Linked DNA regions of Drosophila melanogaster. The protein of the gene in region 1 interacts with the protein of each later gene in a pairwise test. Each region holds a gene or a part of one and is shown in the gene's direction. Other genes may lie near its edges. The genes, in order: CG3164 and CG1213.

The links.
Region 2: the proteins of CG3164 (region 1) and CG1213 interact in a two-hybrid assay, tested with the Drosophila melanogaster proteins (one large-scale study listed by BioGRID).

What each region holds. Positions count from the first base shown.
Region 1 is NT_033779.5:123,889-138,595, reverse strand, and holds the start of CG3164 (uncharacterized protein), read left to right. Parts: upstream 1-7,804; 5' UTR 7,805-8,044; coding exon 8,045-8,088; intron 8,089-9,350; exon of another isoform or gene 9,351-9,612; coding exon of another isoform or gene 9,613-9,653; coding exon 9,654-9,796; intron 9,797-12,368; coding exon 12,369-12,486; intron 12,487-13,329; coding exon 13,330-13,519; intron 13,520-13,675; coding exon 13,676-14,509; intron 14,510-14,564; exon of another isoform or gene 14,565-14,571; coding exon 14,572-14,707. Other genes in the region: Gs1 (glutamine synthetase 1), read right to left, coding at 4,914-6,113.
Region 2 is NT_033777.3:5,834,781-5,852,517, forward strand, and holds CG1213 (uncharacterized protein), read left to right. Parts: upstream 1-6,389; 5' UTR 6,390-6,590; exon of another isoform or gene 6,591-6,883; intron 6,884-9,099; exon of another isoform or gene 9,100-9,300; intron 9,301-9,750; 5' UTR 9,751-9,778; coding exon 9,779-9,923; intron 9,924-10,228; coding exon 10,229-10,642; intron 10,643-10,714; coding exon 10,715-11,631; 3' UTR 11,632-11,788; downstream 11,789-17,737. Other genes in the region: CG1208 (uncharacterized protein), read left to right, coding at 527-571, 1,059-1,167, 1,231-1,389, 2,077-2,262, 2,317-2,561, 2,739-3,503; CG14676 (uncharacterized protein), read left to right, coding at 12,518-13,252; disp (dispatched), read right to left, coding at 15,741-15,978, 16,111-17,091, 17,276-17,737.

The sequences.
Region 1 (14,707 bases):
GGCAGCTATATATCAGATAAAGTAGTCTGATACGGCTTGTGTTCAACCTGCAATAGAGAGAAGACATTTGGAATATCTTCTGGAAGATAGCACTATGAGAATATTTTATGCAGAAACGTACAGACGGACATCGACTCAGCTGTTGATCAATAATATATATACTTTACACTTTATACCTCTGAATATAATTTCCACAAACTGTTAAAGTGATCAAAAAAATACGAGAATTCTACATATCAGTGTAGTATACTTTACCAACAGGTGTTTGTTTTGTGGCATACTAACGGGCATTTATATTTACCCTTGCAGAAGGTATATTAACTTCAGGCACAAGTTTTTTTTACAGATGGAAAAGTAAAAGGCGCAGCCTTTGCACTGTTCACCGAAGTCATCAGCTATAACATAATGTACGTTACAAACAAGAGATGCATATATATATATATATATATTTATATATCTATATAGCTTTTTCCTTTTGCATTTTGTAATTTTTTGGAGTCTAAGAATACGTGCAATAATAGTTAAATCTCTTTGGGTTAATTATTGGAATTCAATTAAATATCTGCTTCATAAGTTTAATAAACTTACAAAGTAGGAACTACACTGTTGTAATAAATGTAACATAAATAATAATGTAACACATATATTACAACTAAAATGTGTGCTTATGATATTATTAAAATATTAAATTATTGCATTGCACTTTACATCCCTTTCAAAATTGTTATGCAATTGTTAAAGGGAAATTACTTGTAATAACTTTTTCCTTAAATTAAGTTTTCCAAATTAATTATTGTTAATTATCTGTTAAAACAGGCCCGGCCTAAATGGGGAATTTGTGTTGACAAGGTTTTACTAGGTCTTCCCAAATATGTAATTTCGGACTCGCTAATGACCAATAAAATGGGTGTAGGGAGATGGACATCGGTTGAACGAACTCGAATTGCCTGCACGGCATGAAACAAGCAGTTGCCCCGTAATGTTATATATTTTTATGTAAACAGAAAATACGTTCTCTTAAATTGTCTGGATAATATGCAAAGAAAACACATACATATGTACAGTTAATTTTATCATTTAAGTCCAATGAGGTCTGGGTAAACAACGCCCAGTAAAATTCTGCCGGCTTATCGAAAAGCTCTTATCAAACGACTTTCTCAAAACAAAGTTTTTTTTAATACATATATTATCTCTGCGACTCTCATCCATTCAGACTGAATATTGCTAATGGATCCTAATCTCATTATCAACTAAAAGCGGGACGCTTTACTGATAACTTAGAAACATAATCGCCGTTCTGACACAAACCAATTAACAATAAAATGAAATTAAAGTAATGCGCATGAATGTGTGCCACAGAAGACGACCTTTGCCTGACCATATGCCCGTCATCGGTTTGGCTACGGTGATTACCCCAAGAATCGGGGGATTGAACTTTGTCTGATGCGATGCGCCAAAACGCACGGAACAGATCGCAGATCACTTGGTAGACGCGTGTGGGCCCATGACGCAAATATTGGGAATCGCGTGTGGTGGCAGAGAAAGTAAAGTGGAGGTGTTCTAAAAAAAAAAAGCGGCATAAAATGGGGGGAGGAAGATCTTTGGGCTCTTTGGAAAACTAAGACAGAACACGCAGTCCGACCCTGCTGTTGGGTGATTCAGTTCCAGACATCTATATGCTCTGCAAATTAAATATAGGCGCTCATCACGACCACAACATTGCGAATGGCGTGAGCAGTGGGAAATTAGATAAATAGGCCAGATAAAAGACAGCACTTGTTGGCTGCCTGTGTTTGCGCAAGAACCCCACCGTATCGACACCCGCCATAGATAAAATGGAAAAATCGGTTGCGTAGTAAACTATTTGCGGCCGCAAATCTTTTCTTTTTCTTTTCATTCCAAAATGACGCTACGTGACCGATTAATTGCTGGACATCGGTCACAGGACATAGAATTATAGGATTATATTATATATATTATGTATCTGCTTGTACCTGACAGGTTTTATAATTCTCCAGAGTGCGACCACATATTTTGATCGAGCAATCATTTACGATTGCGCGGACTGAAAGTAGCGCTATAAAACATAATCTCAACAAGCAGTTGGTGCGCTCCAAAAGAAACATCACATAAAAATAAACAGCACCCCCAGCAACGATTATTTCACCAGCAGCTCCACAACAGATTCGCTCTGTTTTGTTACCCGTTTATTGCCGCTTGTCACATTACGTACTGCATTGAGTCCGTAAATCCGCTGTTATCAGTGCTTTTTCCGACCACTCCCATTGCAAGGCGAGCGAATGTCTTGACCCAGTTAAAGGCTCTGAAAATGGTAATTTGCAATTGGCCAGACAAGAGTCGATCAGTAGATGAGTTTACTGTGACAGGCCGTTCAGGAATCACGCTCCACAATCGTGCCCAACTTTAAGGTAATTTAAATAAAATTCGCAGGGGTCTGGGTAAAATTATTTCATCTCTTTATATGGAATTGATTTGATCAATTATGGTTCAACATTATTTTATTTTCGCAACCGCAGCCAGTATGATTTATTGCCCTTTGATAACCCTACCCAGGCGGAGGTATTTTTCTGACCGAGTCAGAAGTAAAAGGCACGGTACAAAAGATAATGGTAAACGCTGGACAGGCTTTTGCAGCCGGAAGATTAACTTCGTGGCCTTACTGTCTTATCAGTTTGCTTGGACTTTAACCGAGTGAACTGACGAACTGAAGATTTTATAGGAAGGTGAGGAGAGTAAGTGAAGCTTATATTTCTATCCAGTCGATCGTTGCCTACATTTATCTAGAGCAAAAATATATTATTTTGATCACTTGATTCAGTGATATATCAATATCATTTTGTTATCAATAGTTTCGAAATCAGGTGTCCAGCTTATCATTCCGTTTTATGCAAATCGCCTGGTCTCAGGCAGCATAACTGGATCTCCTCAGGCCTGCATTGTATGATGTTGACATCTTTGAACGTGTTTCATGCATACCAATGAACCTGCTTCAATTAATTAATAATCTGGTTTTTGGGCGACGGTGCGGAACTATTGAGTTCTGTGGCCATAACAGGCTAGTGCCTTGATTCGATTGTTTATGTGATTTTAAAATATATTATAGTATCTACATTGTGCCCACAAATGCTGCAATGGAAAACGGGTATATTAGATAGTCGAATTGGAATTGGGCACAGGAATGCGTTCGAACATTTAAAGATGAGTTAACGAAGCTATAGATGGTCTGACTACGGATGATTCCGTGCCTCTTTCGGCTGGCTGGCTTGGTCGAACTATCTCTGTGTATTTAACACTGTTTTGTATAAACTGGATGGCCTTATCTCTCCCTCTTAACCTTATTACATTTGCATACCCCGTAATCCGTAATCCGCTCCCAGCAGAGCCAAACAAACACCGCTAACTGCACCTCAGAATGTCAACAATTGCGAGAACGGACATGCAAAGTGCAGTAAAAAAAGCACACTCAATTTTAGATGCTCGAAGACATACTAGATACATACATATGTATGTATATTAAATATCAGTTTAGTAGTACTGCAGTATCTGCTATTTTAATTTAATTCAAATTTAAGATTTATTTTGTAAGTTTAAGTATAATAACCACACTTAATAGCCCCCCTTTGAAGCGATTGAGTTCGCGGTTATACTCAATCAATATAAGATTGCAGGGAAATGCAATTGCCTGCCATCCCAGAGTGCAGTACCCCTGCCCTATCAGCTGGACGCAGTATATTGCCATTGGGAATATACGAGTATATGGAAGCATTGTCTCCTTCGCAGCCATATCTTTCATCCAAGCATACAAACATACATATATGTACATATATACGAGGGTGTGTGTCAGTTGAGCGAAAAACACACATATTCTGAACGGAAACCCTAAGATTTAGTCTTTGAATACTTTCAGTGTCAGGCAGCTGTTTGTGGTGGAAAACTTTCCATTAAAAACAAGGTCTTGCCTTAGCTAGTTTTTGTGCCCTCATGTCACTCTTATTTACAAGCAAGCTGTTCTATATTTTAAAACTTTGATTTTCACAGTCATTGCAACAACAGTTGTTCAAAAGCTCGCCAGAAAAGAGAAAATAAAATAGTCTGTAGTAATGTGTTTTGCTTTGTACGCAGTTCTGCTTTTACTCAAAATGTATTTATGTATCTCAATGGAATTTTTAATTTTGCTAGTGCTAGTATTTAGACATTTATATTATAACAGCATATAGTAAAATGATGTAAAATGCTACCGAACAAAGTGAAGCGACAGATCCGTAAAGTGAGATACATATGTACCAATATATATACATAAATTAATTTCTTAGTATTTTATTTTTAACAACTTCTAATCAACAATTGGTTTTTATAAACATATTTCACATATATGTGTATTCGTGCTCATGGATATGAATGATTAATATGCATATCGTCCGATTTCAGTGATATTTCCTTCTTAAATTTACATTTAGAAACTCTTAGGAGTTATTAAAAAAGTGCGTTCAAGAAGTTAAGGGCAAAAAATGGCGTTGACCGAATTCAACGTCGGATCCCAAAATGTTTGTTTGATCTAAAAGGTACAAAAAATTAACGTAGAGTACAATGTTTTTTATTATTTAGATTAAAGCAATGATAGATATACGTAGTTTGTGAGATATATGGCAAAGTATTCATGAGGCCCCATCGCTTTAAGGAAATTTCGCTTTAGCTTAGTTCTTCTTGCCACCCACCCACGTTCTTAAATTCTAAGCGCACGCTTTTCGTGCCTCGGTCTCCTGTCTTTTTTGCACAAGCAAACTAAATTTTGCTTCAGTTCAATGTAAATATAACCAAATGATCGGATACGCTTCACAGTTCCATAAAACATAATGTACAAAAAATTAAACATCTGTTGCACCGCTCACAGCCTACTCGTTGAGCAGGCAGGTGCGAACAATGGCGTTGCACACGGCGTAGGGATCACAGTTGGAGCTTGGCCGCCGGTCTTCGAGGTATCCTTTGCCGGCCGTCGCAACGCCACGCGGCACTCGCACACTTACGGCCCGGTTGGCCACGCCCCAAGAAAACTTATCGATGCTAGAAGTCTCAAGACGTCCCACGAGGCGCCGTTCATTGTCTTTGCCTTCCTTGGGGTCGTATGCCTTGATGTGCCGCTCGTGGCGCTTGCTCAGCTTCTCGATAGCTTCCTCGATGGCCTTGATTCCGCCATCAGCACGCATCTCCTTTGTGGAAAAGTTGGTATGCGCGCCGGCTCCGTTCCACTGACCCTCCATCGGTTTGGGGTCAAAGGTGACCACTACGCCATACTCCTCAGCTATGCGCTGCAAAATATATCGCGACACCCATAAATCGTCACATGCCTTAATCCCGGCTGGACCAATTTGGAACTCCCACTGCGCGGGCATTACCTCGGCATTGGTGCCGGCGAAGTCGATCCCAGCATACAGGCAGGCCACGACGTGGGCCTCCACAAGATCGCGAGCGTACACACGGTCAGCTCCCACGCCGCAGTAGTAAGGACCTTGTGGGGCTGGGAAACCGTTCTCCGGCCAGCCGAAGGGACGTCCGTCCACGTCTAATAAAGTGTATTCTTGCTCAATGCCGAACCAGGGCTCCTGATCGCTAATTAGGTCAATGGCTGCCTGGAACGCGGCACGCTTGTTGGACGCCGTCGGCTTGCCGTCGGCGCTGTAGGTGTCGCACAGGACAATTACGTCGTTCTTTCCCGGCTTAAAGGGATCGCGATATATGGCGCGTGGCTTGAGCGTGGTGTCCGAGTTCTCGCCATGGGCCTGGTAGGTGGAACTGCCGTCGTACTGCCAATCCGGCAAGTCCTCCACGGAGCTGGGTACTTTGTCCAAAACGCGATCCTTGAGGCGAATGTTCTCGCCGGTACCGTCGATCCATAAGTAAGTAGCCTGCACTCGATTGGCCGGCGTTTCCAGGTTGCGGTACCTCTGCAGAATGCTCTTGTCTAGAGCCGTGTTGGGGGAGTTGGCCAAGAACTGGGAGCGGGTGGTATTGCCAGTACGCAGCAGACGCAGCTGCTGTGTTGCGGGAGCCACCAGCTCCTTCTTCAGGAAGAGTCCTGCCACGCGTAGTGCCATCTTGGTTCTTGGATTGGAGTCGGCGAGAAGGACAAAAGGACACGGTTAGTTATGTATTGCTGGCGAATGTGAGGACGTGCGCAGGAAGGGCAAGGGCTGGTGGCATGCTGGCTCACTCTGCTTTTCTCATGAATTTTTATGTAATTATTTTCCTTGCACTTGATTTTCCGAGGTAGTTAAAAAAGGGGTACTTTTCCAGTGAAGACGCAGTCTTCCGCACAACTTACCGTGCTCTGCTCGTTTTTCCACTTTACAGTTATATGATTGGTTAAACAGTCGCTGGTTGGACAGGTCTTTTGGTAATTTTGGATTGCGGTACTTTCGGTTTTCGTTTCTGTTTCTGTCAGGGGCTGCGGAGCGACTGTTGGGGACACCCGACCAATTCGATGTTTGGAAGTCTTGTGAGCACAGTTAGCGCGACAGCATTCACTTTTTTCGTTGTTTCGTCGCGCGCCTCGGGTTTTTCTTTATCTCGTTTGCGACGCCGACGCACAGACAAAGGCCTCCCAGAGAGCATTCAAAACTGGCGGTATATGAGCACCCGCTCCGCAGCCACTAGCCAGAGAGACCTGCAATGCGACCCATAATGTTTATGTTTCGAGGCTAGTCGGGTAGCCAAAAGCCCCGTTACTGAGCACACGCTATAAGCTCATTTATGCATTTCGAGCACTTGTAGCTTGCATTAGCGCCAAATGAAAAACAAAAGTTTTTAGTAATTCTCATCGTAGAACACCTGCACCATTTATGTGCATGGCCCACTTTAGAACCCACAAATTAAGTTCTACATTTTTGATAAATTCATTTCAGAAACTATGATAGGTTACGCAGTATGCAGATGCATTTCAGCAGTACTACTTATTACAACACTCTCTCATTTCTCGTAATCTCTTCGTAAAAACCTCCACCATTTTGCTCTTTGGCTGATTGTTTTGAATACACGCCTGGTACAAAGTTCACTATATACAATTAAATATAGCGAATGCAAGGAGCACCGTATCAGCTGTGTCTATTCGTGTTTGGCATTTGATAAACTCTGTGGTGGACCGCATTAATAGAGCCTTAAATGAAGCAATAATGATTTGTTTATAATATGTAAATTCGGTACTAAATGTTCCTATTCCTGGCTTGGGTCTCGCATACGACGTTCTGAATATTAAAAATATATCTAACTAAAACTATAACTAAAATAGCAGTATAAGTACACAGTGTAGCCAACTTTTAGGCTGAGTATGTAAAACGTTGAAATTTAAATGCTATGTAAATTCTGATCTAAATATCCTGTGTGGAGGATATTCAATATTTATTTGTTACAGATTATACTTAGTCCTAGGCCGTCGTTCATCAAGCCACGCATATTGGCCCACTCCCTCCTACATAATGGCATGTTGTCGCACAAAAGCCGAGACCACAGATATGTCTTCCAATTATTTGTTGGTTGCCTCGTAACTTAGAGGAAAGTACTGAAGAACGGATGAGTATATTTCAGATAGGATTAATGTTAAAATAAAGCTAAAACTCTGTTTCTGGCGGGAAAGCAAGCTTTTTTGGACGGCTCATATTGGGAGAGCTTCAGGTGGGCATAACAAAGAAAACAAGGAAAACAGAGGAAACTTTTATGTGCCAATGTGTGAGTGCCACTTTTCACCATAGACCCGAGTAATTCCCATATAGCCGTCTACGCTTTTCCAGTTACGTGGCATCGTTTCCACTAGTTGGCCGGCTTCAGTTTTCGCAAGAAACTACGAAAGTTTCCCTCCAGCAGAGTGTACATATTTTTACACCCGATGTGCAACAACCAAATACAAAATCGCTAATTCTTATATTCGGTTTGGGTTTCGACTGCCTATTCGTTATTGCCTGCGACTTAGCTTTCGCGAAGGCAACTTGTTGCTTCAAAGCGATGGTTTCAGTAGCTGTTGAGTTACGGCACCATGAACCAGTATAGTTGGAAGCAGTTTTTGGAAAATAATAATCTGTAAGTAGCCGAATCAGGCGGGTCTCAAGCAAAATGCATCACATTTAGTTGGCACATCTAATATACCACACCCCCCGTTTATAAAACGAAATCAACAAGTGTAGAACAACCGGTTTGCAATTCCTGCCAATTGTTGACATCTCCGTGACTTGATTAGCCACAAGCTTTAAAAAATTTCCAAGCCAATAGTCATCGGGAAATTGCCAGTGGAAATACATTATTCTTTCATATCTTAAGGCGACTGCATAACTTTAGTGCTGTATGCTGATTTGAACCCAGAAACCGAACTAGGAATAATATCTCAAATTGCGGTTTGTACTGGGAAAATACCTTTTGTTGGTCAATTCATTACGTTTTTACTTGCCCCAATATATACAATAACCGGTTTAACTAAACGTTATTAGCACTCCCAGTGCAATCCGTAAATCCCAATTAGATTGGGCAAAATATAGACCGGAGCATCGTAAAAGCATGCCAACAAGGAGCCTTACAGCAATGTCTACATCTAACTGTTGCGTTCAGATATACCACAAAACTGTTTCTGGGGCAAAGTTGTAAGGTCGTCCCACGCCATAGCCACAAATGACCTCATGCCACATTAAATGTAGGGAAAAGCAAAATGTAGGTAAAATGTCGCGTAAGCAAACCATTAAAAAGCGTACTAGAGCTCCTTTAAACGAATTACGGCACCGATTAACTTATTTTTACGTAAAACACGAAATGACAAAGTACAACCCCTTATCGGCTCATTGAAAACTCCTATCAGCTGTAGATTGACACCCATAGATAAGCCCCTCCAATAACTCATGAGTCATGAGCGAGGCCGTGAACTTTTAACTTAGATTGAATAAACCAATGGCCAGAACCTTAGCTTCCAGGACTAACTACTATAAAAGGCTGATAAACCAATCAAAGTACAAGACTGGGAATCAAAGACCTTCCTCAAGGTAAAGACTTTCCTCGAAATTAGTTAGTGGTATTTTATTTCGAGATACATGGGTCCGCCGATCGAGGAATATTCACAGATTATAGGCTTTTCCCAAATTCATTCAAGACTTAGTAGAAGAATGCGCTGGCTTTTGAGAGAGAGCCAACCCGCAGTGCCTCTCAATCGCACTAGAATCCCCACCAGAAGTAGTGCTTCTATTGTCGTCCCACTCTAACCACAGACGTAAAGCATTGGGGCTGTGAGAGTATGCGATGGCACTCTCTGTCAGCGGTTGCCTAAATTTCTGCCTTTGTTCCACTGCCGCAATTGCTTATTTCAGTTGCGATCGCGGCGCGAGCGAGTGAAGTCCTAATATTTGAGAAGCGGCAGTACCGTTTCGAGCAGACGGGTGGAAAATTTCTCTCACCGGACCAGACGGTGGTGGAATCGAATCGAGAACGCGAACGAAAAACCAAACGGGAACGAAGGGCAGCAGGGGCTGCAGTATTGCTGTCAGTGCTAAAGTTTACAAAGAATACACACACAACACAGTGGTTGCATTTTGCTTTTTAACCCCTGGTTGATTGATTGACAAGATGACTAAGAACGATAATGCAAATCTGTTGAACGACAACAGACTGGGCACAGCCGGAGCGGGTCAGTTGAAAGCTCAAATAGTACCCGCCCAGCCAAAGACGCTCCAGCACCTCCCCAAGCGACCAGCGGTGGACCTGGCCTTTCACAACCTGACGTACCGCGTCAAGGAGGGGAACCGGAGCAGTAAGTACTTCCACTGTCTAGTACCTCTCTCTATATCAAGCTGCACTCCTCGGCAGCACGAGAGCGGGATCTTGAACCTCCCGCGCCTGCTCTCACCTCACCCTAGAGCTTTTGTTTCCGGTCCTGGCTAGTAGTACTCCGCACATGTGTTATTGAGCTAGTTCTCCGGAGTACTCTGTCGCTATTACGCACTTCCCTGGCTTTAGCGGGTTTTACTTGTTTGCTTTAGCTGCGCTTCGCATTGTGTTGGTTTCTGGTTTCTTTGTTCTTTTAGCAGCTGTAACGCAGTATCAACACTCAGACTGTGAGCAACGGAGAACTTCGGGTTGTGGCTGAGTAGATATGTAACCCGTCGTCTCTTCGTCAAATTCATTTCCCAGTTTCACAAGGGCGGCTCTGGCCAAAGTTCACTAGGTTTCACCGCGATAAGCACTGCTAAATACATCAAAATCATCAGCCAGTAGCCGCGGAGTAACTGCCCACACAAGCTATTTCGCTATTGGGACAGTCAACAACTTGGTTCGATGCCATAGCATCTAAAAGGCGAGGAGCCATGTACTCGCACTTTTCTCACGTAGCAGTGTATCTACTTTAAAGCATGGGTGGAGCACAATGGGGTTTTTTTTTGGATCTACTGCTTTTATGGAAAACAATTTGTGATGACGTGCCAGAGGGAGAGGTATTGTTTTTATACCCTTTCCTCGTAGACTGCCCCTGATCCGCCAAAAAAAAAAGGATTATGAAATTGAGTAGCGGGTATGTTATAGTTGAGGAAGTCAAGACTGATGGCGGCGGTATGTGCTTTCTGTGTTAGCAGAGCGATTAGGATTTAGTCACTGCCAATAGCTAGCTTTAGTCGGGTGTGGTGGTGAAAACACATTTGTGGTAATATGCAGTGCCCCGGTGGGGCCGTTCAGAATAAGTAATGATGGCCGAGCGATAATATTCCATTAGTTTGGTATGCGAACGTGCACAACTGCTTTATTCTTATATTTATAAAAGCTCATTCATGAAACCCACTCCCCTCGTTGTCGCATTGGATGGCTGGCCTCACGGCGGACATAGTCCGTGAATCCCGTCTAAGATTGAGGGACTGTCAAAGCCTGTTTTTAAGCCCAAGGCCAGCCAAGTGCAAAACTAATTGGAGAAGGCAGCAGCCTGAACTTTGCACACCTCAAAGGTCGGCCATCCGACTCAATTAAGTCGTTCAGAATAAGCGAATATACACAGATTTATTTACACTGCCCTGTGAGCGTGCCCCACCTAGCCGAAAGATTTGCAGATGGCACGCCGCCTTCTGGGGTGTGCTAAGTTATGTGCCAAAATAATGTATACAATATAAGATGGAAGTGAGGCAACAGATGGAAATTGCGCTGATTTTGGCTAACTATGCCACTTAAAGTAAACACAATTAATGAAGTAAGTGCCTGCTAACGTTTTCGGCTGCTATATTAAAACAGATATAAATAAATTCTGAAAGCGACTTTCTGTGCCCTTGTTGCAAGTTTGGCGTAACCTTTTCTTAGGAGCCCTGAATGGTTCCACTTGTTGTCCAATCCGGTCATAAACATCAAAGCTACGATTTGGCCTTAGCGCTGGACTATAGTTTTTCAAGCGTGACCCCACTTTTGGTGCTATTACATCAATTGGCAAGCAAGTAAGTTCAATGAGAGACATTGCGTACCTAGTGGTTACGACTTGCTAGTCGCTGCCTGGCAGCTGGAATTCATTACCAGCTTTTAAAGTCTACGTATTAAGTAAGTCGCCGAATAAAACATTTACAGTCCCTGCATGAGCTTAATAAATTTGAGTTTCACTTCTGAGCGGGTCACGGTACTTTACTAATCGGAGTTATGACAAACATAAAATGAATTATTTCGTAATAGTCACTTTACAGAAGCTCTATAACCAGTCATAGCTCGCTTTTGTGTCCAAAGTCGATTCAATAGTAAATACATCTTTTGATTAAGAGCCGGCAGTCGAAGAGCGTGCCCCCATGAAAACGGGTATATTAGCATTTTCCGTAGAGCAGATGGCTTGCTGTACAAAACTATTGGTTTAAACTTTAAAGGTATGCCATGATTATAAGGCACTTCCGCATCTGAACAGTTCCATTTAGGCAGCATCTGCGAATATACGTCAGAATAAGTCAAACTATTTTTAAACAAGCGTTACTAAAGTGCAATTGGCTTTTTACGAATTTTAGCCGCTTTGTTTATTAGTTGTCCGTTGTTGATGTTGGATGTTTAATAAAATTTGAGTAATGGACGCGGTTGTTTGACAACTGTTGGAATTCTGTCGATAATAGCATAAGTCATACTATATATGGAGGTGGACGAAGAAAAACGTGATGGGGCCATTGACCGTGCTATGTGTTTCGATTGTCAGACTTTGCAGATTTTGTTTACCTATCGGCTCTACACTTGCTCGTCCAAAAGCCAATGCAATCAATATCTTTCTTGATAGCTGCGGCGGCACTTAGATATTGACGTAAGACATATCAAAACGCGAACTATTTTTAGTCCCAACAAGAGATTGGCCCAAACACTAATTTTGTGTGTTTTTATTACAGATGCCAAGACCATTCTGAAGGGCGTCAGTGGACGCCTCCGGTCTGGAGAACTCACCGCCATAATGGGACCATCGGGTGCTGGCAAGAGTACGCTGCTCAACATTTTGTCTGGCTACAAGTAGGTTTCGCAGGGCCTGATTATTTGCATTCACGTCAAGTAGCTGCTGATTCCGACACTGAATCTGACCTTGCGCCAGCGCACGAGAATACGGCGAAACGAGTTCGAAAATGTTTATATTCAGCCCTGTATTATCATCAGAAATAATTGCGACTTGATAACCACTCTGCCGCTTTTGGTGCTTAAACAGCCGACCTATTCTCGCCTTGCGTTCTTCGTATTTCTGTATTTTATGTGGGATACACACTTACATATGTACCTATTCTAAGCGCAAAGACTTTCCTTCTACAGCTCAATCTTTATTTATTTATTGTAAACCTTAAATTTTGCTCTATTGCATAATAATCATAAACCGTTTCATTACCCTTTCATGCATTAAATTTTGTTACCAGGAGTGGTCAACCGATCACCCTGAATCGATACGAGCAGGAAATCTATGATACATAGATACAAGTGTACTTGTGTGTAATCGACTGCTTTGCTATTTCCTCACACACATTTAGCAATGTCGCCAAGTTTTATTGGTTTGAATATTTGAGGGAGAATCAGCTACTACTTTGCTGGACTTCGGACTTAGGTTGCCCGATCGCGTGCACATGTATGCTTAGTATATCAAATAAAGGTCCGCATACACACAAACGTAGATATGCACAATAAAATACACGCTAGATTACTCGAAATTGGCTTTGCCCAGTGATAATAGGTCTAGTAGACGCACAAAAAAAAAAGGTTGGGCCTTTTTAGACTATGGTACAGGAATGTAATTTAGATGATACTCATACTTACAATAGCCCTCGGTTCTAAAATCCAAATTACCAAATTACTAATCTATTGCACTTGCAGAACTTCGAGCATCGAAGGCAGCGTTACGATGAACGGTGCCGAGCGCAACCTAAGCGCATTTCGCAAGCTTTCTGCCTACATCATGCAGGACAATCAGCTTCACGGAAACCTTACCGTCCAGGAAGCAATGACTGTGGCAACGAATCTGAAGCTCAGCAAGAAGTTTTCGAAGCCCGAGAAGCATTCAATGGCAAGTTGAAAAAATTAAAAAAGCCCGAGAGGAAGAATTTGATAACTTTAAAGATTAATCATAAGTAGCCAATCCAGTAGACAATTTGATTCGACAGTCTTGTGTATTGGGTTTTATCTTAAACGTGCTAATAACCTGCTTAACACCCTCTTCCAGATCGATGACATTTTGCTTACTCTCAGCCTGAGCGAGCACCGATATACGATGACTCGAAATTTGTCCGGCGGTCAGAAAAAGCGGCTCTCGATTGCCCTTGAACTGGTCAGCAATCCTCCCATAATGTTCTTTGACGAACCCACATCCGGCCTGGACAGCTCTACCTGTTTTCAGTGCATTCATCTGCTAAAAATGCTAGCTGCTGGCGGACGCACAGTCATATGCACCATCCATCAACCGTCCGCTCGTCTCTTCGAGATGTTCGACCAGCTGTACACTCTCGCAGATGGACAGTGCGTTTATCAAGGCAGTACAAAGCAACTGGTGCCCTTCTTGTCTACGCTAAACCTGGAGTGCCCCAGTTACCACAATCCGGCAAGCTACGTGATTGAGGTGTCCTGCGGGGAGCACGGAGATCATACGCGCAAACTGGTCGATGCTATTGACAACGGCAAGCGGGACGTTCGTTCATCAGCAGACTATGCCGGCCTCAAGGCTCGCAACGATTTGGTAAAGGTGCAAAACCTGAAGGCTATTCTCGATAAGAACGACGCTTCAAGTGTCAGCGGTCGCAAGTACGAGGACAATTTGACCTTGAACAACGGTTTGCTCAACGGCATGGTCAATGATATTGTGAAGGAGGGCAACGTTAGCTCTGCCTTGGTCACTACCAATGAAAGGGGAGATGCCATGATCGATGTGGAGAAGTCCGTAAACTGCACCACTGCCTTGCTTACGGAGGAGATAACATCACCAGAGCGATATCCAACATCGCAGTTTCACCAGTTCTGGGTGGTTCTTAAGCGAACTTTACTCTTCAGTTACCGGGATTGGGTAAGAAAACTTATAATGGTGCTTTTCAGGATTTTAGTAAACATTGCTTCTCTTTATTATAGACTCTTATGTATCTGCGTTTATTTGCCCATCTGTTAGTTGGATTTTTGATTGGGGCACTCTACTATGACATTGGCAATGATGGAGCAAAAGTTTTGAGCAACCTGGGATTCCTATTCTTTAACATGCTTTTCCTCA
Region 2 (17,737 bases), on another chromosome or scaffold:
TCCAACAGGTTGTTTGTTTATTTGTTAGCATCCTATTTCAAGAATAAATCCATTTGCCTCTGACGTAAAACAAAAGATTCGAATGCATCTGATTCGCGTAATCTGTTGGCAGTTCAACGAAATGCCGACAAAAGTCTCAGATAAAATAAAAGTTCTATGCACAATAGAAGAATCTTCGCCAAGCATCGAGATGAAAATACGTTTTTTCGAAGAGACCTCCGGTTTAGTCTTTTCGAGGTGTTTGCACGAGACAATCCACTGCCCCAGAGGCAGCCATTAAAATTAGCGGAAAAATCAAAACAATAATACACAATACATAATAACAATACATATACAAAGAAACGCACTGCTAAGATAATTAATGAGACTCGATAGAAATAAGTGAAATACATAATCCGATATATACAAACCATAAAACAGCGTTTTTTACACCACAAAGAGTCGTCAAATTTGGCGCAGTGCGTTTCGTCTGCGATCGTCTTATATAAGGCGTTGCTAAAGAACCCGGAAATCGGCCGAATCTCGAATGGATTCGGAAAAAGTGGTCCGTGCAATGGCTCGTTGGTGGCAGGTAAATATCGCAGCATTGCATTTTAGAGTTTGTCGGACAAATGTAACAATATATATATATATTTTTGTGTGTTTTTAAATGAAAAAGTGCTTTAAGTAAGAAGGTTTTCACATTTTCAGCGGTGTACAAACCAAGTGATTTTAGACATTTCTTAAGAGTTAATTGGGTACTGAATTGGATCATGAATGCGTTCAAGACTTGTTCAACTATTCTTTTAGTATAGTTTTTGCATTTCTGAGGGAAAACTCCTTAAATCGAGTCTTCACATCGCTAAATGTTGGTGTTTTCCTTAAGGTCCTTGCAATTTTCAGGGTGACGTATATGGTTTTCGTCAAAGTCCAAAGAAACGCTAGAACTTTGCCTATTATCATAACCAGGCCAGTGAGGAAACCGAGCAGGGCAGCCATCGTAATCATTATGAATGCAGCCTATTTAAGTGTGATATAATCTTTTAAGCAGATCCTAAAGATTCCTTCTTCTTTTGCAGACCGTCAGTCAAGAGGACGGAGACTCACGCAATCCAATAACCTATGATCTTCTACAAGAAAATCAGTCGAAGACTTCAAAGACCCGGCAATATGTGGCGGCTATGATAAGTGAGAACAATAAATTTGTTTTAAGATTGATGTCTTTACTGACCAACAATCGATGTGTTACAGTTTGTTTGGGTGCGGTTGCCGCTGGAACTGCGTTATCCTGGACGTCTCCTGTTTTTCCGCAGATATCTGCCGGAAACGAAAGCAGTTTCAATTCCACAACTGGCGGTATTTCCAACTCGACTTCCAACGAGAATGACATTCGACTGACTGATTCGCAAAGTGAGTACCTTTCTTATAGCGTTGGACCTTAAGATTATAGACTATGGTTATAGAGTGCATTTATACGCCAGTAAATTGTTCAACATTATAGACTATGGTTATAGAGTGCATTTATACGCCAGTAAATTGTTCAACACATAGCATTGATAACATGTTTGCATTTTGATTCCCTTTTATTTTAAGGGTAAAGCTATCCTGGTATTGATAAAACCTACACACTTTAGGAATCTATTTAGAAATACCATTTTTCGATTATTCCTGTTACTCGTGGAGTTAATGGTATACTACATTAATTGATCAGGATCAATAGCCAAGTCGATCTAGCCATGTCCGTTCCTCTGTCCGTCCGTATGAACAGACGGAACTAAAAGTGTTTGCCCAAAACTTTCAATTTCTATCGATATTCCATAAACAATATGAAATGTTTTTAGATGAGTAAAGGGTATCTGATAGTCGAGTAACTCGAGTATAGCGTTCTTTCTTGTTTTTGTTATCTATTCTTCCAATTGATTAAGTTGACTGTGGCCCTCCGAAACTATTAAGCTCATTTTGCTATCTCTTTTTTACAAGTGATTATGATTTGCGTGATCATAAATAGTATAGATAGTATTGATTATAGATTGAGTACTATTTCTGGGCAGATTGACAAGTTCTGGGGCTTACTAAACAACGTTTGCTTCTTTGCAGAAACATTGGTGGGTTCCATGTTGCCCTTCGGCGCCCTTTTTGGAGCCCTCCCCTCTGGATATATTGCCGATAGGATCGGGCGACGTTATACAGCTATGGTCATGGACATTCCCTTCATCTTGGCCTGGATCACGCTTAGTTTCGCCAATTCCGTCGGCTGGCTTTACTTGGGCCGATTTTTAATTGGTAAGTGATGTAAACTTGCCAGTTTGAATTCGATTTGAATGTGCAGCACTTCAGGTATCGCAACGGGCAGCTTCTGCGTGGTGGCTCCTATGTACATTTCGGAAATCGCGGAGACTAGCATTCGCGGCAGTCTAGGCACATTGTTCCAGTTGCTCCTTACGATTGGTATCCTGTTTATCTACGTGGTGGGAGCTTTGGTGTCATGGAAAACTCTGAGCCTGCTCTGTCTAATCATACCCATCCTGCTGCTCGTCGGCCTGTTTATCGTGCCCGAGACGCCAGTGTATCTACTTAAAAACGTAAGGGTCTCAGGTCCCTGAGAGCTATACAAAATTGTATAAACCTTTCTAAAGTATTTTTTAAATCTTTATTCCAAATATTTTTCAAATGCTAAATGCTTCGGTTACGTTTTGTATAGTTCAGACAATGATTTGATTATCAATATTTATTTATACGGACACATTTTTAAATTGCAGGGTAAGCGCTCCGAGGCCAATCGCGCACTAAAATGGCTGTGGGGAGATTACTGCAACACCAGCAACGCCATCCAGGCCATCCAAAACGACCTGGACCAGACTGGAGTGGATGCCTCCGTGAAGGATTTGTTCAGCAACCGCGCCTCGCGGAACGGTATGGTGATCTCAGTGCTGCTGATGGTCTTCCAGCAGTTCTCCGGCATCAATGCCGTAATCTTCTTCATGAACGAGATCTTCGAGTCTAGCAGCACGCTGAATCCCAACGTCTGCACCATAGTGGTGGGTGTGGTGCAGGTGATCATGACCCTGGCCTCCTCCCTGCTGATCGAGAAGGCCGGCCGCAAGATCCTGCTGATCTTCAGCAGCACCATCATGACTGTCTGCCTGGCCATGCTGGGTGCTTACAACACAATCAATCGGCACACCGATCTGTCCCAGTCCATTGGCTGGTTGCCCCTGCTCTGCATAGTGCTGTTCATCGTGAGCTTCTCCGTGGGCTATGGCCCCATTCCTTGGATGATGATGGGCGAGCTCTTCATGCCGGACGTGAAGGGCATCGCCGTCTCCCTGAGCGTAATGATGAACTGGGTGTGCGTGTCCCTGGTCACATGGCTCTTCGGCGTGCTCAATGCTGGCGGTGCTGATGTGCCGTTCTGGTTCTTCAGCGCCTGGATGGGGGTGGCCACTGCCTACGTTGCCATCGCCTTGCAGGAGACGAAGGGCAAGAGTGCCAGTCAAATCCAGAGCTGGTTGAGCGGACGTTGAGGATCACAGAAGGACTCCATGCCATAGTTTATTCTAGCTGAATGCCATTGAACTCGTAGTTGAATAAGCAGCCCTTGAAAAGATACTTTTGAATACTTTTTATATGTTATTTCTATTTTCAACGATTTACAAGAAATTACCTCTGGCACAATTGAACTTCAGCCAAGATATGTAACCTATTCTTAATTTTATTACAATTTTTTCGGACTCAAGGCCAACCTAGCTTATTGGTGTTCCACGATGTTCAGATACGTAGTATAGTTTAACTAGTTCCTAAGTACTCAAGGTCACGCCCAAATATCTATATAAGATTCAATGGACTTCCACTTCCACCCAGTTACATATGTACGTGCTCTCCTTTTGTATAAACCACCTGCTGTATAAACACACGTACTTTAGGATTGCAAAGACAAATACCTATATTTATACTTCTGTGTGCTAATTTTAACAAATGTACATATATATTTGATAATAAAAGTAAGCTGTACAGGAACCTGCAGTGTTTACGGGTCAGATTGGAGGCGATAGCCCAGTCCCGGGTACGCCCCTTAAAATGCGAAATTGGATCCCTATCTGGCGATTGCAGCCGCGATTGTGACAGGCCACGCCCACTGCTGGCGCCAGTGCTCGGCGATTCCCCATTCCAACCACAAAACCACCACCCACCGCCCTGCGTCATGGTCAGTGTGAAGGTCATCGTCGGTTGATTGATCGATCGACATCGGAGTCGAATTGGAATAGGAATTGGAATCGCCAGATCGTTGCACAAAATGCAAATTGAAATCGTGCCAGCCAACCCACTGCGTTCGATTGCCGGCGCTTCTATGCAAATATTTAACGCAATTACAGGAAGCCCATCGAAGCCCCTATTTGCTTGGGTATTTGCTCGGCTATTTGCCCACATGCTCAACAGGTTGGCGACAATCAGCAGCAAGACAAATACAAATGGCAAATATCGCAGGGGATGAAAAAGTGGGAGTGATATACATGTGTATAGTATAGATGATGCCGCGATATGGTCGCTAATTTTAATTGACATACTGGTAGATAAATCGGTGGGATTGATGGGATATAGTCCATATATGTACATGTACATGACGGTTTCGCTTTAAATAGGATAAGTAAGAGCAATTCGTCGATACAGCTATTAAATTTTATTTTGAACCAAATGCTTTTAACTTAACAAGAATTGTATTTCAATTTTCAAGAGCATATTTTACGTTTTACCTTTACTTACCTGAATTGTACTTTGTGTATAGAACTAAAATATTATTAGATGTAGCCTTATTAGACTAATTAATTAATTATATTAAAAATTAAACAAGTCGCAAAAAGATTGATAAAGGCAGAGAATCAATAATAAATTTCGCACAAATAGCTCATAAAGTTGATTTTGTATTGCTGTTGGTAAACATTGGTATAGTAGTTTACAGCAATTGGCGATAATTTTAATTCCTGTTTGAAGTTCTAGTGCCTAGTAAATAAATTGAATGTATTAATGGGTTATATCAGTTATTAATTAATGTGCGCAAATAACAATGTTATCATAGTGTTGAAAAATAAACCTCAGAAAACTTTCTTTGTAATTTGAAATTAAAATTTAACATGTGGCACTTACACCAGCTGGGTAACGCGTATCTGAATGTCGAGGAAATCGAATTCGTTGATTAAGAAGTCCATATTGATGTGATGCGTTATTTACCTTAATTTACTTTTTATTATTGCCGTAAGCTTAAGGCAATAACTACAATAAAAGCTTATTGAAAATTAAAATAGCAACTGCCTATTAGTTATCTTGAAATAATATTCCCATTTTGCAAATTGCACTAAAGCATTGCTTTTATAATGCTTTTTTTGTTATCAAGGAAAGCTACCTATTCTCACGATGGAATTACGCATTTATGGACTCTTTATCTGTGGCAAATTGGGCTTTACTTCTTTGTCAATTAAGTATAGTTCTAAAAATGGAAGCTTACAAAAAACGCAACTTGTTTCTAAATTGGCATCAGCAAGAGCCTCCTGTCTTACCATGTCTCTATACAATCAACAAAACCTGAATGATAAAAGTAATAATAATAAAAGTTTGTCAAGACATGATAACCAGTTTGTAAATCATTCTCCTTATCAATATTCAACCCCCCACCAGCAAGCAGTTCACTTTCCCGATTTAAATTTAGCAGATCGTCATAAACAAACGCATCGACTTCTGGCCAGCGATTCCCATGTATTTCATATCGCATTGCCGGTTCCGGATGGTGTTAACCAGAAATCGACCATGTCGATATAAGGCACTTAAGTGCCTACACCGGAGACATTTCAATTAACAGATGCGCGGTGCACGCACAATACTGGCCGACTAGCCAAACAAATTAATTGAGTATGTACTAACTGTATCGCTTGGCCAGCTAGGCCATCGGAATCAGTCAGTTCCCCTAACCAGACACGCTGAATGCTAATTAACTTCCTCTTGGATGGTGATTCACATCGATCGGTATCGCCCAAATAGCCCCAAAGCTTTCCACACTTCGGTCCGGAACTAGAGGTCTGTGAACACCTTAACCAAACCTAAATGTGTGTTTTTTATCCGTTCGGCTATTTTACAATGACAAAAAAAAGGCTGCGAGAGCATCGGCCAATTGTCGACTGGGCAGATACAAATCACTTAAACTCAACTCTCTCAGTCGAGCTTGGTTCAACGGTCGCGCTTAATTCGCTATGATATGGTGATAGATACATACATACATATGTCTGTGATAAGTCTGGATCTCTACAATCGGACGTGTGTGAGTGAGCTTCCCCTGTGCTTCTGTGGTGTGTGAAATTCGTATTATCTAGCCTCACTTGCGACTAAGTGCGAGTATAAATGCGTCTGTCATAATTTTTCAGGCCCAACACAAAAGCGCCAAAACATTCGCGATCCGACATCATTTCCATTCCGACAGCCCAGCCAAACAGTTAGCTTTGATCTGTCTGTTCAGTCCAGAGTTGAATTAATTCCCACATTACGTGTACGCCGCATTGTGCAGCCAAACGGTGTTCACTGTTTCACTGATTGCCCACTAATTGATAATTTCGGCTACGAAATGGGTAAGTCTGGCGACCTAGTTAATAAGAGTGTTGGTTTTCAGCCGTCCCGCTGCCGAGTGCTGATAAATTGATCATCGAGTGTCGCCTTGAATTATTATAAATATCATATATGATAATAACAGGTGCTCCGATTAGGGTCCACATTAAACGCATTATCGTTCTGAACGTGAACGTGAATCGAGTGGCTGAGATAATGTTTCCCCAAATCAGCCTGTTACCAATTCCATTAGTCTTCATCTGATTTCGTGGCGATCGGTTCGCACGAGTATTCTTTGCCTAAGATCACGTGTCTTGTAAGTTTCTTAATCAGTTAAAGTCAATTATAAAAACATATAGGTAACCAGTTAGAGCTGCATCTAAAATGATATCTTCCATTGTGGCAAATTATTAATAACTAATATTTATATTAATAACTTTTCAAAACAACAAATAGTTAGCAAAAACTTAAAAAACATAGCATATGTGTGTTTAGAAAAGGATCAATGGTGGATGAAAAAGAAACACAATCATTAAGTCCCAATGTAATGTCTGTATTTTTCCAAAAGTTTCAGTGAATGAAAACTTTCCACAATACCCATTTCGTAAACAAGTAAAAATCCCCCAAAAGATGAATTCCAATCTCACGTGTTTTTTGGATTTGACTTGTGTTCTCCAGCATATCAGCTTTTAATGCCAGACATGTCTGCGAAGGTAATCGTATCTTTACCTACAAAATCGATGAAAAAAACACCACTTGATTTTGGAGGCTCTGGAGGAACGTGGTCTTATCAAATTGACTTTAATTACATTTCTAAAATGTGTGTCGTCTGGTTAGTGAAAAAGCGATCTGTGAGAATGTTCCAACAGTAGAATGCCACTTTTGACATTTTTAATTACTCTTTATACTTGGGAAGCTAGTCTGCGTAATTAGTCAGTCAGCTTTGAATTTGCACACTGATAACAATTTCATAAATAAACGCCCCCATTCAACTGTTAGGCATCGAAAATAAACATATTAACCATACGAAAACTACAATGCTCTCAAAAAACACATTTATTTGGCAAGTGGAAACAAAACCCAATGCTAAATAGAACTACGGAAAGTTTTGCCATAGTGAACCGTAAATAAAAAACTCACTTCCGTTGGACGCGCGGATTGGTAAACGTAAAAATGTTAATAAAATTAGCTGTCCAATTTATTCGAAATGCTTATCGGAGCTCACTACTTGAAATATCTTAGAGATTGGGAAAATCACTTAATGGTTTATGATCAAAACCCCGAGGTCGCATTTTTCAAGAATGTCAATAAATATAGTTATTTAATAATAAGCAGTACAGTAACAGTTCAATGTCAGATGCGACGTTACACATCCACGTAGTAATTACTAATTGCGTGAATTTCAACTGTTACTTACTTACTTTTCCATGGAAGTTTAGTAGTTGGAGGATTTATCTGAAGTGCTCTATTTGGCTCAGTCCAGGTGTTCCTCGACCATCAACTTGTTGAGATACTACCCCAATAGATATGACAATCGGCTCCATTTCGAGTGCCCTCACACCCTCTTCACGTGTCTCGCCCCAGGCGCAGAAATTGTGTCCCCACCTTCGATTTGGAACCAACTAAATAGATCCAAGGACAGGGCTATAAAATGCATCGGAAATTACTCAATAATTAGCAGTCGTAATCAAAACTTGTTTACGCCGCGCTTGGCGACATTTGATTTTATTTAGGAATTCAGAAGGGTGTGTGAGTGTCAGAGGCACTTGTAGATTGGCGCCTTTTGTTTGTTTTCCAGCCCTATAGAGGTACATAAACACACATTGCATAATATACGTTATATTTTTAAACTCAACTTAATTTAAATACCAGAATGTATGTAAATATTTGCCTTTGTAGAGCAAGAATCTGAAGTTTGCTTACTTTTCAGGGAAAACTTCTATCAAGTTCAAAAGCGTTTTTCTTTTTTTGTAATCCTTCACTCGACAGAATATAGGGTATTTATTTGGGTTAAGATTTGTTGTATATCGAAAGGGCTGTATGTTTTTAGTTGACCAGGACCGAAGTGGGCCGGTCGCCCTTTTGCCGGCGAGTCGGCGAAGCAAACAAATTGAGATTGGGGCATAGTTTTCGCTGCACCTCCTTATCACATTTAATATGTGGGCATACTCGTACGTATATGGGCCAGTTCAAGTGCAAAATGCACACAAATGGCGCGATTCCAAACGAACAACAGCGGAATACAGAGATTTCGATTCGATGGCCAAGGCAGAGAGAGTTTCGATCGAGAGATGGCAGCTCCGATTATAGAATAGTATAATATACTTGTAGTACTATATGCTATGGTATGGTATGGTATAGCCTATAAATGGGTTTGCCGTGAATCGGGAGGCGCTTCCCTGATAAGATAATGCACGTGTAGGAGCACTCGTCAAGTCGAGTGTCAGTGAGCATTATTGGACGTGTATGGATTTCGAAAGCCTGCCATATAAGGTGGAAAATCTTTAAATTCGCGCGATGCGACTATTCAAACAGCATTACAGTTCTCCAGTTCCCCGGACTGCGTCGGTTTTAATTTCATTTGCAGATCCTACTCGAGTGGGATTTACTGCGATTCCAAGGATATTTTTCTGTAAGAATGCAAAGTGAATAGTAATACAATAGTAATTCCACTTTACACCATTAATGACTTGGTGTCGCAATCATTATACAAATTTGCTAAAAGTGCCAGAGGTGATTACATAAGTGGCAGCGAATAAATAAATTAATTAGCAGTACAAATGCGACAGACATTAATTTGTCCATAGTGCAATTAAAATAATTTGGTCATTCATTAAATAATGAAAAGACTGCAGTTCCGCCTCCGTTTAACTTTTTCTGTGCTATTAAGTCCAGATAAACTGGCTAATGGTCTGATAACGTGATGCGTTAAAAAATCGGCAGATAATGTGTCAAGCTGTTTGGAGTACAATTCCGGTAGCTACTTGGCTTCCCCTCCCATATGGTGGCATGCGTCATCCCGCATCCCCCATCCTCCATCCCACAAAGAAATCGGAGACGTGTCGAGTTCTGACCGTTTGAACTTGCAGCCGATTGAATTACAAATGCGAATAAGATCATTAATCCCAGTCAGCCGCATTGCTAATGAGGCACTTTCGCTTTTCCACTCTTGCGCTCTTGCAGCTGCTTCTGTACAACCCAAGTCGGCCAGATGCCCTCAATAAGCCGGGAGGAGGAGACCGGAGTACAGTACTCCTACACGGAAGTCAGTACGTTCCAGATAAGAGAAGGAAACACTCGAACGATGTCACCCGAACCGGTCAAGTCCGGTCGCATTTTTATGGCTGCCGTGGCAGGTGAGTCAATAGTCAATATTCTTATCATTTATCGCAAATATAACATAACTAACTCATCCCGAATTCCAAAAGGGGTGACTTAACACATATTAATCTAAAGAGTAATTTGAGTCATAAATGTATGTTTTTTAAGAAAACAAATTATTATTAAATATTTACTTACTTTACATTACCAATAAGAAAAACACCGATTTCGACAATTTGTCATATTTTTAATTAATTTGTGTTTTTAAATAACCAAGTTTCATCGTCCAACAATCAAAGTAATTTTTTTCTCCTTAACTAATCGATTACATGCTTTGTAGCCAACTTGTCCGCCTTTGTGGTGGGAACCACCCTAGGCTGGACCTCCCCCATCGGGCCCAAGCTCAAGTCCGAGGACACCTCAGACTCGCCGCTGAGCCGGCCCATAACTTCCGATGAAGATGCCTGGATTTCATCATTGATTGCCGTCGGAGCTCTGGTGGCTCCATTTGTGGCCGGTCCGATGGCTGATCGCATTGGCAGAAAGTGGGTGCTCCTCTCCAGCAGTCTGTTCTTCGTCCTGGCTTTCGGCCTAAATATGGTGGCCTCCGAGGTGTGGATTCTGTACATGTCCCGCCTCATCCAGGGATTTGGCGTCGGCTTCGTGATGACCGTGCAGCCCATGTATGTGGGTGAGATTTCCACGGACAATGTGCGCGGAGCCACCGGATCCTTGATGCAGCTCTTCATTGTGGGTAAGTAGATTGGATAGGTACCCTCTAAGGGAGAGTGGGACAAACGACTAATCTTTTATGCTTAATCTACAGGTGGCATTCTGTACGTCTATGCCATTGGACCGTATGTTTCATACCAGGCTCTACAGTGGTGTTGCATTGTGGTGCCCGTAGTGTTCGACTTGGTCTTCTACATGATGCCCGAGAGTCCGTACTTCTTCGCCGGAAAAGGTCGAAAGTCGGAGGCACTGAAGTCGCTGCAGTTCCTTCGGGGCCAGAGTGCCGAGGGCGTGCACGACGAGATGGCCGAGATCCAGGCCAATGTAGAGGAGGCGATGGCCAGCAAGGGCACAGTGATGGATTTGTTCAAGAATGCCGGCAATCGCAGGGCCTTGTTCATCTGCGCTGGCCTGATCTCCTTCCAGCAGCTGTCCGGCATCAATGTGGTCCTCTTCAACAGCCAGTCTATCTTCGCCAGTGCCAACACTGGGCTGGATCCGGCGATTGCCACCATCATAATCGGATGTGTCCAGGTGGGATCCTCGGCACTGACGCCTCTGGTGGCCGATCGCCTTGGCAGGAAGGTGATGCTGCTGACGTCCTCCAGTGTGATGTCCATTGGGCTTGCGGCCCTGGGAGCATTCTTCTACATGCAGCTGGTCAAGGGAGACATCTCCAGTGTGGTCTGGATGCCAGTTCCTGCTCTGATCATCTACAACATCGTGTACTGCACGGGATTCGGACCGCTGCCGTGGGCTGTTCTCGGGGAGATGTTCCCGGCGAACATAAAGTCGGTGGCCTCCTCGGTTGTTGCAAGCACCTGTTGGACCCTCGGCTTCCTGGTCACCTTCTTCTATCCCAGCCTAGATGCCTTGGGCTCCTACTATGCCTTCTGGCTCTTCGCTGTCTGCATGGTGGTGGCCTTCTTCTTCGTCCTCTTCGTGGTGATGGAGACAAAGGGGCTTAGTTTGCAGCAGATCCAGGATCGCCTCAATGGCAAGCGTAACTAGAGAGCTGGTCCCTTAGTTGATAGTGCCCTTGATTCCATAATGATAAGGATCCCTCTGCAAGTATTTTACTGGCTAGTGTAGTAAGTCAAACTCAATTGTTACATGTTATTCTTGTTAAGTCGTAATGAAAATAAAAGTCTAGTAATAATATTATTATAAACCAACAATTTCTTTCTCTGAGCCAGACATTTAAATATTATGGCAATTGCTTACAAAAACGGTAAAAAATATACATTTTTAAGACCCTTTCGGGGGTTTAGCATTTTTAGTCAGAGGATTTATTGATCAGAATAACTATACAATATGATATGTCAATATAGTCTTTCAGCTTTAAAGCTATGGCGTGCAAGTTTTGGTGCACTTTAAAAGAACATTTTTAAGGTCATCAACGGATGACCTATGTGTAAGGAGTATAATAATAAATCCAATAGGGGCATAAATCCATAGGGCATAAAAGTATGCAATGTTATAAACTGCTGAGTTAAGATCGAATTCGCCGCAAAACTGTATGTTAATATCCGTAATATGAATTCCGTATTATCTACTATTTTTTTAATATATTGTTAATGTTAGGGAATCTCTTAAAAAACTCTTTATCCAATTTTATTTACTTCATAGTAGATTTGCGAATCTCATTGTTAATTTAATGCCTTGGCAATAATAGTATGATTATAATACAAGACCAATTAATTTTATATATTATATTATATTAAAAAATAAGTAGTTCTTCCAACGTCAAGAGATTTTATGTTATAACAAACAACACTGATACCTTTTCGAATCTGACGATTGAAAAATACTTAGAACACAGTACCTTTACATAGGCTAACACTGTAATTGAGTTTTACGGAAACACAAAAAAAAACATAAAAATATATTTTCCGCAATGGCTGAAAAAACACAAGACGCCATGCTGGCCGAAATGGATTTGATCTTTCTGGACCACATACTGCCGAGGTGCTGCAAGGACATCACCACCTCGCAAGCGTTCTACAAGGACTACACCGCCGACAAGCCGAAGCGAACAGTCACCGCGTTCCGGAAGCAAACGGATCCCGCCCTGATCTCGGGCCACTATGCGCACAACTTGAAGGTCCAGAAGCAGGAGTTGAAGACGCGGACATGGCCACGATCCATGGACTGGCGCGAGGAGTACGCGCAGTTCGTCAAGCGCAACAAGTGGTGCAACGAGGAGATCTACAAGCTCTTCTTCGTGAACCCGCCCGTCGACTACTTCCTCATCAGGGAATATCTGCAGGACCTGCTGAAAACCACCTATATGTCGGACTACTCGCCCAAAGACTACCAGTCGCTCATCAGCCAGCGCGAGCATAGGGTCCAACTCGACGGCTCGGACGGCATTGACTATCGGACGACCTATGGCAACTATCACAATCGTATCCAGGAGGAGGATCCGTTCAAGTCGATCCTCATCCCAGAACCAGGATCGATTGTCAGGAGCATGGAGATAGGAGAGTTCGCCAAGCAGATGCGCAAGCTGTTCACTAAGTACAATCTAACCACCTACTACGAGACCATCTGCCTTCCGGCGCTGATAAAGGCCAAGGATGGTATTATGCCATCGGGGCCGATCGATCGCTACACACTTCGCAAGCACTGAATCGCACCCAAGTCGAGTTAACCAGGTCACGATTACTCCAGCTACTGCATGCAGTTGGATTTATTTATTAATAGTTATTATTGTACTAAATATACATTCGGCGCCTACTATGATACGAAGTACCACAAAAGGTACCGTAAAAAGGATTATTTTAGATGAATTACATATCTTCGCTTATCGAATTTTAGACCTGTTAATCGTAGAGCAGAAGTCGATCTGTCCGTCTTTGTCTGTGTGTTGTTAATGGATCCAAAGATCGAAAAATGCAAAGATGTGCAAAAAAAAATAAAATAATAAAATAAAAAAAAATTTAATGTCTCCCTCGCCCTGTTACTAGCTGAGTAGCTGATAGTCGAGAAAGAATTCTAAAACGTTTACCCACGTTATGATTAAAAAAAAAGTTTATTTCTAGAAAGAATATGCACATGTTTGAATGATAACGTGGTGACCGATTCCCTGAGGTAGCTTTGTAATATATACATATACTAATCTTGCTATGTACTGATACTCATTATATTAACAGTTGTTTTATATCATCGATATTGTTTGCACATTTCAAATGTCATGTTTTTTTCAGTTTTTTTTCTTGCATTTTATTCTCAGATCGTAATTTTTTACATCAGAATGACTTGTCATTCTATATATTTATTGATAAAAGCTCCTTCTCTCTTAGCTCCAAAACAGTAATAATATTTAATTTGATTTTTAATTGAGCTAGCTCGAAGTATTTATTACATACATATGTACATATGTACGTACATGCATACGTGCATTTAAGGTAATACATTTTATATTATTAAAAAAGGACAGGCTTTTGTTTTTCGAATGACAATAATGTTAAGGCATTACATTAATGTCCTGGTGAACAACGCCGGCATCACTACCGGTTCCCTCATCACGGATCCCAACAATGCCGCGACATGCGAGCCGTTCTGGACACCAATTTACTGGGATTCGTGTGGTGTGCCCGCGAAGCCTTCCGATCGCAGCAGACGCGCAACGTCACCGATGGCCATGTGGTCGTCATTAACAGCGTCGTGGGTCACAAAATTCCCGTGTTGCCCGACTTCAACTTCAAAATGTATTATATTTTAGGGTCAGTAGACTTTGATTTCAGATGTACATTAGGCACAGAAAACAAAAAGATTATGGTTTCACATTGAATCATTTTAAAAATCTGTTACCAACCATCGAAAGCAACTAAAACACTTATATGAGTCTTAATACCTATCCACTTCTAGAGCATAAGTCCCGGAGCCGTCGACACAGAGATCATTGATGAGAAAATCAATAAGGTCATTCCAAACTTTCCCATGCTGCGCGCTGAGGATGTCGCCGACGCAGTGTCCTATTACATCCAGACGCCTCCCAATGTGCAGATCCATGAGCTCACAATCAAGCCCGTCGGGGAATCGTTTTAAAGGAGCCTTCAATGGAATTGAACCTTCATGGAAGTCTAATCGAGAAAATGGAAAATGGAAAGTGGATAGCCGGGTGCAAGCAATTTGTTTATCACTAAGCATTCCACACAAACCCGTATTGATGTAAATGAAGCAAATTTGGCATAGGGTTAACAAGTAAAAGTAAATAATTATATCCGCACTATGACGGATTTGCATAACACCCATTCAATAAACTGATCCATCAATTCTGAGACTGCATTTGTAGTGGTTTTACAAGTAACATTTATTAAATCACTTCAACACATAAGTTCAATGAAGGAAGTACAGGGCCATTTTGTTGCAGGTAATTACAATACGTCATTGTTTAGGGATATAACACTATGTCTGTATAAACACCAATTTCATTAAGATTCTCACCTTCTGTATCACAGTTACATGGTTATTACAAACGTGAGCGTGTGTATGTTCTTATGTTTTGAACGCATACAACTAGGATAGACAACACATATCTCTGCGCATATAACTATCGTGTAAAGTAACTACATCTTGCTGGCGCCAACAATGCGGCCCAACTTAACACCTAATATAAAACCAGAGTACAAATAGTTTTGATTACAGATAAGAACATAAACAGCGTTGAAACGTTTGGCTAAGAACTAATAATACCGTCATCGTACAGTCCTACCGACAAAGACCCAGTACCCAGAGTACCCAGTACCTCCCGCTAATTGCTTCAGTTTACAAATCGTTTTCACTTGGCTGGAGCATCGAATGTGAAATGTCACAAGATAAAAAAAAAGCATAAAAGCATATTGCAATAGCCTGGAGTCTTTTGAAAATAGCTTTGCCTAATCCTACCAAGTACAATTACACATATATCTAGAGTATATCAATGTAGAACTCGCACAACACGTACATATGCCACCGCCAGCATATTTTAAAACTAAATATGCCGACACACGGCGTGTATATGTATATATAAATGTATCTCGGGCAGGCTTGAGAGCCGCCGTACCCTGTATAAAAATGCAGTTGCCTGATTCTTCTTGGCAACAACAACGCGTTGTCCGGCAATAGTAACTAACTCAATTGGATGTAGACGGATACGTTTGATATTTGCACTCGTGCATCGTCTGGAATGAGTGCTCGAAGTCCCTCGGCAGCGAGGACAATGCGTGGGCGCTTTCGATGCCCGAAATGGTTTTGATCAGGCTGTTGGAGTTTAGGGACTCCAGTTCGTGCGTCTCCGAGTTCGCCAACTCAACGATGGCCGAGCTTGTGGGGGTCAGCAGCTGCTCGCTGGCGATCACTTGGCTGGGTTTCCTGCACAAAGAAATTCGAGTTTTAATAACCGATAACGGGTAGTCACCCGTCAGTCAGGCTTGATAAAAATGACATTAACGCAAAACAGAGAGATATAGAAAATTGAAAGGGTCAATACGATAAAAGCCTTACCGCTCGTAGAACTTGCTGCTGCCACTGCTTCGCTTGCTCCACAACGGCCACTTGAGTTCCAGAAAACCATGCTGAGGACCGGCAACCCGAAGCAGACTCATTAGAAAGAAAGTGGCATAGAACCAGCTAACGATCATGACAACGACCAGGAAGACGCCAATCTGTATGTAGGGCAATATGTTGGATGCCATCATGATTCCGCCAGCTAGACCAGTTGTGGTGGCCGCCATCACTGTGGGTCCAATGATGCGGGATAGTACAAACTGTGTGGCTGCCAATCTCTCCTTAACCGGGGACATCCGGTAGTGAATACCGTAATGTAGGCTAAAGTCCACAGCCAGACCGATAGCCGTGCTCACCGCAATGCTCTCCAAGATGTTAAGCTGCCAGCCGAGCAGGATGAGCACAGCCACGGTGTTAAAAATACTTAGCGACACGGTTAGTACGGCGTAGATGGAAATCAATATGTTTACGGTGAAGCATAGGAGCACTGCAAGTGATGCAGCCATGGCCAGACAAATGGCAACAAAGGTGTCGTGCGAAAGGGTGTCCTGCACATTGTAAAATTTCAGGTCGCTCGTGAACCATCCTCCTTGAAGTTCCGGCGGTGCCGTTTTTAACTGCATCTGAAACCAGTGCTCTACAGACTCGTAGAACTGCCTAATATTTGCGTAGATGGTGCTGTAGGCCACGTTGGACTCGAACTCGATGACCAGGGCTTTGACTAGTAGCGGTGTAAATGATCCGTTGGTGCTGTACTCTGCACTCTCATTTCCACTCATTCCTAGGTAATCCTCAGTCTCCAGTCGGGGAGCCTCTGCAAACTTGGGTCCTGCCACGCCGGGCCGGAAAAATGTAGTGTCATACATGTTGGATATGCTTTGTGGCAAGCAGTACTCAAATATGTGCGGCTCAAAGGGAAACTGTGCGTCACAGCAGGGTGAACGGTCTTTCCTGGTACTGTCCATATCATCGATGCATCTGAACAACATGAACAAAAGCTTCTATTAATGATTGCAAATTGTATTGGTGTCTCTATATCTCCTGTCTTAATCCATCTAAACCAGTTCCAGCTTTCAAATGTAAACAAAATCGATTTTTCTGAACCCAGTTTTAATGAGCTTTCTAAGCCATTGTAAGTATGTATATAATTGTATATGCTCACCTGCGCTTCATATAGTCGATAAGATTTTCAATGAAACAATTGGGCAACAGCATGCCGAGAGTCTCTTTGTAAAAGGGTTGCTGGCGCACACTCTGGCAAAAATCAAGGATCCAGAGTTGTGCCGGCCTGCTGGATACGTTAAAATTATTGTCATAGTGCAGGTGGCCGTATGAGTTGGGGTTCGTATAGTCGCCGTCGTCCACCGCTTGAACGCCCCAGACGAAATGCATGTGCATCTTGAAGTTCTCGTACGCCTGCAATGGTTTCTCGAACCAGAACTGCTGCTTGAGACTGGAGTAAACCTCAAATGGATGCTTTGACACAAAGAGCTGGAAGTGTGATTTTTCCGGCAACTGAAGTCCTGGATACCAGAACACAATGACGGCACTGGACGCGCCTAGAGCCCCAAAGATCAGCAGCCAGAGATAGGCATAGTTCATGATGCTTTTCGTGATGCACTCC